Linked DNA regions of Caenorhabditis elegans. The main gene of each other region encodes a partner of the protein of the gene in region 3 in a complex. Each region holds a gene or a part of one and is shown on either strand. Other genes may lie near its edges. The genes, in order: eif-3.K, eif-3.F and eif-3.H.

What was found.
Region 1: eif-3.H (region 3) and eif-3.K share a complex: the UniProt entries of both Caenorhabditis elegans proteins name them as parts of the eukaryotic translation initiation factor 3 (eIF-3) complex.
Region 2: eif-3.H (region 3) and eif-3.F share a complex: the UniProt entries of both Caenorhabditis elegans proteins name them as parts of the eukaryotic translation initiation factor 3 (eIF-3) complex.

The regions. Positions count from the first base shown.
Region 1 is NC_003283.11:12,952,269-12,955,808, reverse strand, and holds eif-3.K (Eukaryotic translation initiation factor 3 subunit K), read right to left. Parts: upstream 1,808-3,540; coding exon 1,632-1,807; intron 1,585-1,631; coding exon 1,386-1,584; intron 1,207-1,385; coding exon 1,113-1,206; intron 1,061-1,112; coding exon 854-1,060; intron 745-853; coding exon 698-744; 3' UTR 580-697; downstream 1-579. Other genes in the region: mpst-7 (Rhodanese domain-containing protein), read left to right, coding at 367-522; pqn-68 (D-aminoacyl-tRNA deacylase), read right to left, coding at 2,621-2,812, 2,868-3,071, 3,115-3,171. UniProt on the Caenorhabditis elegans protein: Component of the eukaryotic translation initiation factor 3 (eIF-3) complex, which is involved in protein synthesis of a specialized repertoire of mRNAs and, together with other initiation factors, stimulates binding of mRNA and methionyl-tRNAi to the 40S ribosome.
Region 2 is NC_003280.10:9,329,527-9,333,280, reverse strand, and holds the start of eif-3.F (Eukaryotic translation initiation factor 3 subunit F), read right to left. Parts: upstream 1,639-3,754; 5' UTR 1,620-1,638; coding exon 1,467-1,619; intron 1,038-1,466; coding exon 523-1,037; intron 469-522; coding exon 330-468; intron 1-329. Other genes in the region: wbp-2 (GRAM domain-containing protein), read right to left, coding at 2,204-2,415, 2,916-3,294, 3,391-3,507. UniProt on the Caenorhabditis elegans protein: Component of the eukaryotic translation initiation factor 3 (eIF-3) complex, which is involved in protein synthesis of a specialized repertoire of mRNAs and, together with other initiation factors, stimulates binding of mRNA and methionyl-tRNAi to the 40S ribosome.
Region 3 is NC_003279.8:4,442,897-4,446,650, reverse strand, and holds eif-3.H (Eukaryotic translation initiation factor 3 subunit H), read right to left. Parts: upstream 1,933-3,754; 5' UTR 1,922-1,932; coding exon 1,805-1,921; intron 1,760-1,804; coding exon 1,637-1,759; intron 1,591-1,636; coding exon 1,395-1,590; intron 1,348-1,394; coding exon 1,248-1,347; intron 1,199-1,247; coding exon 904-1,198; intron 662-903; coding exon 395-661; 3' UTR 38-394; downstream 1-37. Other genes in the region: C41D11.3 (Cysteine/serine-rich nuclear protein N-terminal domain-containing protein), read left to right, coding at 2,309-2,365, 2,495-2,584, 2,634-3,107. UniProt on the Caenorhabditis elegans protein: Component of the eukaryotic translation initiation factor 3 (eIF-3) complex, which is involved in protein synthesis of a specialized repertoire of mRNAs and, together with other initiation factors, stimulates binding of mRNA and methionyl-tRNAi to the 40S ribosome.

The DNA.
Region 1 (3,540 bases), on a different chromosome or scaffold from region 3:
AGAATGCCGACTTGCGTGCCATAAAGGTCGTGATCTCAAAAGTTCTGAAGGCCTGCAGCGATGCGGATGGGAACATTTTGAAAATTCAAAACGTTCATCTGGTCAGTATTTTATGGAGAACAAAACTTGTACAAATTGATGTAATAACTCTCTTCACTAGTAAAGTTATAGAGCTGCAAACGTGTTACCATACTTTTGGCCCACCCTGTAAACAAGATAATTTCATTGAAAAATGCAAAATTAAAGAAGTACCATAAACTTATTTGCGCGTCGAGACCAATCTGGATGAATCCATGCGTCTTCGAGAAGACATGCTAAAATCTTTTGAAATTATGATAATATTTCTCGCTAGATCATATTCTTCAGATTATATACTGTTCCACGTCACTTCGATCGGCAATGGTTTGGTGGGCTTTGACACGATCTGGTTACAATGGGAAGATCTATTTTGGCGGGTGGCCTGAATGGGTAGTCAGAGCACCTGACGGTTTGAGAGTCATCGGAGCAACGACGGAGACTTGACGCTAAAAGAAGATCCATGTTAAATATTATATGCATAAAATGCGGGTAAAAGTGAATATTGAATAAAGTTCATGAAAACATAAAGGAAATATAAATAGGAAAGGGAATAGAAACGGGGGAAAACCGAACAACAGAAACAAGGGTATTATAATTTGAATGACAGTGATAATTGATATTAAAGAGTCAACGGGGGTTGAATGCTGGTCAGAAGATCGGCGACATCTGAAAATGATAGATGCACTTGAGATTTTACTAGGCATTTTAAATTTGTTCTTCGATTATTAGGACATTTTTTAAATCGTTTGAAAAACCTAATACGCATAATACTCACGTGGGAATTGAATTTTCTCGTCGATATTTCTTGTTTTGATAGTTCCTTCGTGATTTGCAACAAAGAAAACATCTCCATTTTCCTTGGCTTCCCATCCGAATGATTGTGCCAGTGCGGTAACTTCCTTGTCACTGGCTCCGCCGAGAAGACGGCTCAACATTTTCTTTTCGATTTTTTGGAACGTAACACTGATGACGCGACAAGCATCTGAAAACTTGGTATTGAAATTGTCAAGCAATAAAAATAATATTTAACTGACAGTGCTTGACAGCATCCTCGAATCCGACCATTGGCTTGATCATTTTTGGGACTTCGCCAGGAACTTTGAAGGGTTCATTTGGGTTCGTTGTTGGCTGAAATTTTAAAAATTGATTAGTCGTACGCCGAAATTAAAGAATATTCCAAAAATAAATAGATTCAGCATTGAAATAAATACTGAGTTTCAGATGCACACAAAACAAGGTTTGATTTTGAAAAGCTCACTTGTTTCAATATTAGATAAATCTATTCTTTGAAAAGTGTAAAAACTCACTTTATACGCCCCCTTCACCAATTTCCAGAAAACAGCGAAGTTGCAAGATTCGAGCACAGCTCCAAGATCAAAGATTCTGCGAAGTTCTTGAGATCCGAGTCTGTTGGTGTCGATGAGACACTTGGCGAGAGCGAAATCACTCGATGGCAAAACCATCAACGTCTTGAGCAAAACTTGTCGAACAACAGCCTCGTCGTACCTGTGAAAAATTCTCTTTGAAATTTATTAATCTTCTTGAATACTTACTTCTCCGGGTTAAGCTGGTAGAGCTTGAGAATGGTCAAAACGATATCTTTATCGTACTTGTTTTCATTGACCATAGCTTGAACGCAGGCAGCCAAGTCGGCAACATTTTCCGGATTGTATCGGTTTACTCCTTCGATAGCTTCGTGCAATTCCTTTTGCAGTTTCTCGAACGACATCTTAAAAACAAATTATAGCAATTGAAGAAAAGAAACTCTGCGAGAAATAATAAGTAGAGTGAAACTCCTGAACAGACTCGATGAAGTCCTGCGCAAAGTGAAAAAAATCTTGCATAAAGTTGCGCACATCTTTTGTCAAATCGATTAAAATTACGCTAAGTTTCTCCATTAATTAGAAAAAAAGCTACAGAACACATCAAAACTGATAGAAAAATATTTAAGAGAAAGAAAAAAAATTTTCTCAATCAAAATAACAATAGTTTTAAAGGCGCATCGAATAAATCTGAAGGCATATCCTGCACAGATCTTCCTCGATTTTAGAGGCACTCCCCATTTGGGTTAAGAGATTTCAGTGAACTCGATTTGCTATCAGACAAACTGAAATGGAGACGTTTTTCCAAGTTTTTTTTTCAGTTTTTAATGAGATTTACATTAGAAATAAGAAAAAACTATTGTTAGAGGAAAACTCAGCGTATGGGTTTCGCCACGCTGATATCGGGTTACTGTAACTGGTGTCAAATTAAGGGCCACATTTGCCTCATAATTTTCAAATTAAAGGAAAAATTTCTGTTACGATTTATATAATCAAAATTTAATGCAAAATCCATAAATCGACAAAAGTTACAGTAAGTCGTCGTCTGCGTGGTGAGACCAATGTGCGTAAGATATTGAAAACTCGCATTTAAGGTATACGTAATATGAGGTTTTGCCAGAGAATATAAATATATGAAAATAATTAAGATATGATGACGGAATCAAACCGCTGTATGAACAAAATTGTACAAAATTCAACAGTAGTAAAACAAATTTTTATTATTTTTCTTTACTATCAAAAGTAACTGTAACAGGTCCGTCATTTACAATATCGACGCTCATCATTGCTGCAAATTTGCCGTCCTGAATCTTATCAGCTTTGTAAGCTTTTTTCATGGCTTCAAGAAAAGAAGCATAAAATTTTGAAGCTTCTGTTGGGGCCATTGCGGTATGAAAGTCCAGTTTATTTCCCTAAAAAACGAAATAATATGAATAGTTTTGTTTAAGTATATTAGACAAAACTCACTTTAAACTGACCGTAAAGGGTGAACTGACTGACAGACAGCACTTCTAAATCGAGATCCATAACTGATTTATCCCATGGTTTTTGTTCCGAAGCAGGGAAAACTCGTAGATTCAAAATTTTCCTAATGATATACTTCATATCCTCTTCCGTGTCATCTCGATGAACTCCGACAAGCACACACAGACCTCTTCCAATGGAACCTACCTGATTATGATATTTTAAACAATAACGGTTAATATATTCTTACCACTTCATCACCTACGGTGACTGCAGCTCGAGTAACTCGTTGAAGAACTACCTTCATTTCTGAAAAAAATTGAAACAACTAATGTTAAAAATACAAAAAAAAACAGATGAAAACTATTGAAATGTTCTCTTGAAAACCCTAAAAATAAATGAAAAATGTTTGCTAAACAGAGCGCGCTAACGACACTCCACCGTATTACTAGTCCTCAAAGGCTCGGCCAGCGCGACGTGGAATCTGTACACGGTCTCCTTCACAAGAAATGTACCAACTCTCTCGCGGTTTGCTTGCTGGCCACCTTGCCGTTGTTTTCAACAGGAGTTCTTAAATTTGAGCAGAAATCGATGATACGGTAGACTGTAGCAGCTATAGCCTTGATTGTAGAAAGTGGATGCACTTCATAGATTTTGAGCATATATAACTCTGTTC
Region 2 (3,754 bases), on a different chromosome or scaffold from region 3:
ATTTCAAATTCGGGAGGGTAGCGGATATCATATCCCGACATCTACCGGGTTTCGCGCGGCACAGAAAATGTATAGGCATTCCCTAAATTTGCAGATTTTTCGTGTTTTTAGCTAAAGATTTAATTTCCTCAATTTTTGAGAAAAAAAAACTAACAATTCTGTACTAAACTGAAAAACGTATAAACTTTACTAATTTCCAACAAAAAAACTTTTTGAGGTTATTAAAAAAAACTATTTTGATCAAGATATTCGAAATTTTCAAAATCACGTACGAATATTACACAACTTTTCATTTCTCGCTTTTTAAATATTTTTGGCTGAAAACTTACACGAAGAGTATTCTTGACAAGAGTATCGAGCTTCTCTGGCTGCATATTGTTTGACGAGGCAGTGACAATATCCATGAGTTGACGACCGATTTGAGCATCTCCTGGCTTCTCACCGTTCTTGTTAACATCTTCCACGTAACTGAAAATCACGGTTTATTCTCCAATTAAGATAATTTTAAATGTTAAAACTCACTGCAACATTCTCTCCAACCACTCAATCATCTGAGCTGTGCTCGTCTCCAATTGCTCCAATCCACTTTCAAGAGTTGCCTCTCTTCTTCTGGAATCCAAAGCTTTTTCGATAAGTTGCATAGCAACCAGTTCTCCCGGGAATGCAGCTAATTCGACACGAAGTGGGTTGAAAATAGCACAGTGTGGTCCAGCAGCTCCAGGAATTCCGGCTTTTGAGCGAAGATAGGCACGAACTGGCATACGCTTTGACATATCTCCAGAGAAAGTCGTGTCAATTGTCAAAACGACAATTGGTGGAGATTCACGACGAGCCGATGCTTCAGTGATGACACGTACATAGTAGTCGTGATAGATGAGACACGAAGAAGTAATGTCAGATGTTGTAAGGAACCATCCAACTGGTTGCTCATTTGGAGAAGTTTTCTTTAATGCAGAGATCATTTGTTGATTGAATTGATCATCGATTTCCAAATCGTCGTTGCTCTCATTGAAAGGGATCGCGAAACAATTTGTGACCTGGAAAATAAAAATTGGAGAAAATATCATGAATTCCAAAAAAAATATTATTAGCGAAAATCATCCATTTTGCAAACTTTTCAGGGTTACAGCGGCCAGAACTTGCTTCTAGTTCCACAAAAATGCAATAAATTGTAATAATTGAATATTATTAAGTTCCGACCTTTGTGACACGGGAAAGCTTGCAAAATTGAAGATTTTAGCTGAAAGTATACTTTTTTCAAAATTTTGGCATATTTTTGTGTGAGCACTTGAGCATTCGGTCATTTTGAGTTTTTATTCGTTGTTTTAGATACTTTTTCGGTCGATGGTATTTACATAAAATTAAAAAAATTAGATTAAATACAGTTCCAGACACCAATAAGCTTGCAAAATTTCAGTTTTTTCAAAAAATTAGGCTCTTTTTTCTGTAATTATAAATATTTTTACCTGAATCGATCCTTTCTCATAGTATCCCATAAGTGTTCCCATGCACTTTTCCTGTCCTGTATTTTTCGCAGAACTCTTGGTACGTCTCATATGAGTGTCGACAACATTCATGTAGACTCCCGGGTGGACATTGACAGTTAAATTCGAAGCCATATTGACTTTTTTCTGAACCCTGTAATTGAAAAAAAAACTAAATTAAAGAAATAATCTGAATCAAAATAGTAAATTCAGCTGAAAACTGAAAAATGGTTTTGAAAAAATCAATAAAAAATATAAAGTTCTTAATAAATATTTTAAATTATTTATTTATTTACAATTAAAAGAAAAATTGTGTTTTTCAACGAAAAAAAAGAGAAAATAAAATAAATGTTCTGTGAATCAGAGAAAGAGATATAATTCCACTTATACATATATACTTTATCCTGGGAACGAGAGGGGGCATCAAGAGAGAGAGGGCATAGACTTAGTCTACCGAAAGTTTATAGTTTTATCACAACTTTTACTTATATTCACATGAGATTTTTAGAGAGACGTGCAAAAATTAAAAAAAAAAACAAAAAATAAATGGTGGAATTTTAGATAGTTTTTGTGTGCAACTAGACTTCTGAGCTTATTTGGAATCATTTTTCGATGCGGAAAAAAATTATGGGTAAATTGGCTTTGTTTTCTACGTGTTTCCCCATAATTTTGAACTAAACACTTTCTCTAATGTCATTTTTTGTTGTTAAATTTACAAGTTAATTTCTTCGCCTCAATCCATCGGCTGTTTCTCCTGAACCATAAGCTGGTGGTGCTTCAAATTGTCCAGCAACATGAAGTTCTTCAGTTGGATGTGGGCCGCGTTCTGGTCCGATTCCTGGATATGGTGGTGGTGCTGAGCTCATGAAAACTCGTGATGGGTTCGGCTGATCTGGGAACGAATCGGTGGTTGGATTGAAACCATTTGGTCCTGAAAATGTGAAATCTATTATTAATCGGATTAACCGGGGAATAATTTTAAAATAAAAAAAAAGTTAAATGCGGTTTAATATTATTTTTCTAACGAATTTGATAAGAAAACCATTAAATCCAAAGAAAGATGGTAAAATCAATTCAAAAATCAACAAAATTGTGAAACAAAAATGCAACGAGGTGGAAGAAAGTTGCATTAGAGCACGTTTTCATTTTTGCAAAACTGTCTGACCAGAACTGAAGATTTTTGGTATTTTTAGCAAAAAATCTCTCTTAAACAAAAAGTGATCGAAAAAAAAAAGAAAAAACTCGTTTTTTTAAAAATTAATCTTTAAAAAATTTTAAAAAATGTTTCAAACTTGGATTCCTTTTTTTTTCGTTTTTCAAAAAAGTGAAAAATGTTCAAATTCATACAAATCTCTAATGATTACGCTTAACATTTTTTAGGTAATTTTAATTTCGAATTCAGGATTATTTTTAATGTTCAAAAAATCTTACCTTGATCCGGCGACGGCTGATAATAAGCTGGCGGTGCAGAGTAGAAATCTCCAATTGGTGGAGAATATGCAGGTGGAGCATTCTCTGGTCTCATTCGAACAGCTCTTTCGACTGCTTGCAATAGAGATTGCCCGAATTCAATACATCCCCCTCTGTTGAATGTCATTCTCCATTTAACCTCTCCGCGCATTTGTCCTCCTTGAACAGCCGAGGCGATTCCACATAGGTAGTTGGCTCCGAAAATCGGCTGGTTTAAGTTAACATCTTGCATACTGTTGAATGGAATTTCAAATGATTTCAGCCAATCTCCAGGGTCTGGCATGAAAATGATTCTGTGTGATGTGAGGTAGATGGTTCCCGTTCGACGTCCTTCCAAATTCTATAAATTCGAAAATATGATTATAATTTTCAGCATTTGTGCTAATGAAGATTTTTGGTGTTTAAAAGATATGAAAAAAATACTGCAATAAATTACCTCATTTTCACTGGTTCCTAGTGTCATTACTACTCCTTGTGCAAAAATCACGATGGTTTCTCCATTATACAGTAGGACACCAAGTCCGTCCGGCGTGTTCGCCGTGTTGATGGACATCTAAATATAAATTAAACAAGTGGTAGCAGGATAAAAAAAGGTACCCAGAAGCGGATTTTCTATCGAAAAACCGAAGCATAATACGAAAAAAAAACAAATGAAAATGTTAGTTTAGGGAAAAATCTTCGTTTAAATTTTAAAAAATTATAAAATTGGGGAAAAAGCACAATAATTAGAGACCTAGATCATATTTACAACAAAAAAACCGGTTCAAAGTTGAGATAACCTATCAAAAATTGAGGGCAGG
Region 3 (3,754 bases):
GTGATTCCGGTGAATTTTAGGTTTAGGTTGTTTTGTTTTTGTTTCACAAATAAATTTTTTGTTAACTTTTTTGATTTACTGATTGAAAAAACTTGAAAACTCAATTAAAAAGAACAATACCAATAGAAATTTTAAAATCTTAACTTACTATTAGTCAACAACAAAAATTCATCCGAAATAGGGGAAGGTGGAAAAGGATACCAGAAAGGAATTTCATACGGCAAAAAAATTTGGATGAAAAACAATATCCCTATATTGAAAGTGAGACATTATTTTATGTCACTAGTTTTATGTAATATGAAATTCCTTTCACCGAGAGAAAAATATTTTAGAAAAGAAAAAGTAAATTAAAGGGAACAGGGAGGAAACAAAAACACGAGTATATTTGGGAATCTTAACGAGTCGATGAGACAGAGCTCAAAGTTCTGTCTTTTGTTCCGGCGACTTTCTCCTCAGCAACAGCTTCAGCGATGAACATTTTCGTGATATTTTCGCTGGTCACAGTCTTCGAGAAGTCAGCGAGAGCGTTGGTGTCAAAACTGGCGAGAAGCTCATCCAAAAGTCCATTTCTTGTTTGGAGTTGTGGAGCCTTGATTCTCTTGATGTCATCCATTGGAATTGTTGGATCACCACGGGCCACACGTGATTCGTTCTCCTGTTGCTGAAATTGGAAAAATATAAATTTTTAATGATAGAGATTTTTTTTTCGAAAATCGTGAATGGCACCTTTATTCCACCGAAAATGTACCCCTCACATCCGGTTTTATAGTTAGTGGAGCCTCGATATGTTGGAAAATGGTTTTCAAAAAACAAGACTTTAGGTTTGAAAGCCGTTACACTTCGGAATATAAATTTTAGCGATACAATCAGGATATTTTTAATTTCAAAATTCGAAATTCTTACTCTTTTCTGCGTCAGACTGAACACCATATTATCATGTCTTTGCTTGTCAATAGTGTACTTCGTCAACGACTGAATTGACTTGTTCAGCTCATCAACATTAGCCATCATAGCTCGGACCGACTTTTCAAGCGACTTCTTGGATCCCAAATCGAAGTGTCTCGTGGAGTACTTGTCAGAAGAGCATGATTTAGCGAGTGAAAGCTCAGACATGAGAACATTGTTGAGATATGAGGATTTGATGATGATTGGCAACTCCTCGAACATGTTCTGGTATGTCAAACCAGCGGCTTTCACCCTGAAAAGATATGTCTTTGCAAATATATTTTTAAACTCAAAAACCATACAATTCTGGTCTCCAGTCATTCTTTGAAGCGAGATCAAGAGCAGCGGTGGAAAGACGCCAGGCTCTTAGAGAAAGCTGTCCTTGGCGAGTCTTGATTGGATCTGAAAGCAATTAGAATTAATTATTTATCCTCATTAATCTGTCTAACCATAAATAAGAACAACATTTTCTGGGCCCATAGCCTGGTAATCGAACATAGATTCTACGAGATCGTGTGAGAAACCGGCTCCGAATTGATGAGACTGATAGAATCCAACGATTTCGTAATCGATATTCATTGTACGGAATTTGCGGAGCATGTCAAGCATCTCGTGTTGCTTTTGCTCTTCGTATTGTTGAGCGGCCTATAATAGAAAATATATTGGAATCACTAGCATGAGCTAATTTTACATTAGCATCGTCATCCATAACTGGCTCGTTGCGAACTGTTGGGAAGCAATTGGTGATTTCCAAGCGAGAATCTTCAAGGAAAACAAGACCGGTGAGAACTCCGGCACAAGCGTCTCCAGATACCTGTAAATTACATGTTAAGCTTGAAATTAAATTAAAATAATATACCTCACTAATTCCTGCATGAAGTTCACTGTCCACGTGCTTCACAATTTTCATAACCACAAGCGAATCCAAAAGGATATGCTTGACGCTCGGAGCGGTAATTGTCACTGCTGTCGACATTTTTGATAACCCTGAAAGATGAGCATTTAGTTTTTCAAATTTTCTAAAGAACAATAAACAATAACATGCATCTCACAAGAGGAAAAATCAATAATCTAAGCATCACGAATTTTTCGAAAGAAAATTAAAAATATAAATTTCAGAAAATTGGCGAGAAAAACCTCAAAATAATCAATAAAATCTTGAAAATAGGAAACACTCCACGAAATTAATTCCTTCCGTTGTTGTGTGCAACTGCGCGTCAATTGTAGTGCATGCACACAATTGCACACCGTACCCGCGCGTGATCTTTTGATTTGAATTCAAATTTTTGTCGTTCTTTTGTTTTTGGGATTTACTTTTTAAAATGCTTTTTGAAACTTTTTAAGAGAAATTGTATATTTTCAGATGCAATCGAGTGCATCCAACGACCCTAATAAACCTACAAATAATGAAATAATAAAGGTAAGCGCATTTATGAAAAAAAAATCAATAAAACACAATTCTTAAATAAACTAGCTTTATTGGAATCCATTTGAAGATTTAATATTATAACCAAATGCATATTAAAAAATAATTGTAAATTTGTTTCAGACACCATTGGTTCCACCAAGTCCACGTGGAGGATTAAAACGAATGGCGGGAATGAGCCAATTGAAATCGACTTTTTCAATTTCTTTGGAGGTAAAACCCTCAAGTTTCCAGCATTTTTGTTTAATAATATTCATAATAGTCTCAGAGAACAATCCCACCACCATCATCGTCCTCATCCTTCCTATCCCATTCAACATCGATGGTTTCTGTAGCAGCGAGTCTCAAAAGAGCCGGTGTACCTAGTCTAACTCGAACAAAGACTAGTGCATTACCCATAAAAATGGAGAAAAAGCCAATGGTTCCATTGCGGATAGAACAGGACCACCAGACACCGATCCGAAAACTGGCTCCGGAGAGTATTCCAAGCCTGGAAGATCAAGTAACACCGCCAATGCGTCGATCTAGTAGTGGATCAATGCTGTTGAGACAGACGCCTGAAAGGATTCGAAGGCAAGAAGAAGATGTGGAAACACCTGGTTCTCCAGTTAAAAGATACCGAAGATCCGGGTCAATGCCACGATTAGAGGCCCAGTCCCTTGATGTTCCAATACGAATGGAAATTGGAAATAGCTTAACTCCTGTGTTAAAGAGGAAGAGAACATCTTCATTAACGGTAATATATTCAACTGAATCATATCAGAGCTGGGCGGCAAATTTTTTTTCGAAAAATTCGGCGAATTTCCGAAAATTTGATTTTTCGGCAAATGCCGATTCGCCGGAAATTTCAATTCCGGCAATCTGAAATGTTTTCCCGTTTTTCTAGATATTTTCATAGAATTTCCTTACTTTTCAAAATAGAAGTAGGAACATATTTTTTTATATTACGGGAACACAAAATACTGAGAACGCGTATTACACAACATATTTGACCCGCAAAATATCTCGTAGCGAAAACTACAGTAATTCATCAAATTACTCCTGTAGCGCTTGTGTCGATTTACGGGCTTGATTTTGGAAATATCTATCGATGAATAAATAATTTTAATTCATTTCGAGAATCGAGCCCTTAAATCGACCTACAGTAGTCATTTAGATAATTACTGTAGTTTTCGCTACGAGATATTTTGCGCGTCAAATATGTTGTGAAATACGCATCATCAGAATTTTGTGTTCCCGTAATAGGAGGCGTACAATTTCGCGTCTTTAACTTGAAATTCTGAAGTTTCCAATAAAAAGTGCAACAGCACAGTTTGCCGAAATGCCGGAAATTTCAATTCCGGCGATTTGCCGATTTGCCGGAAAAAATCGTTTGCCGCCCAA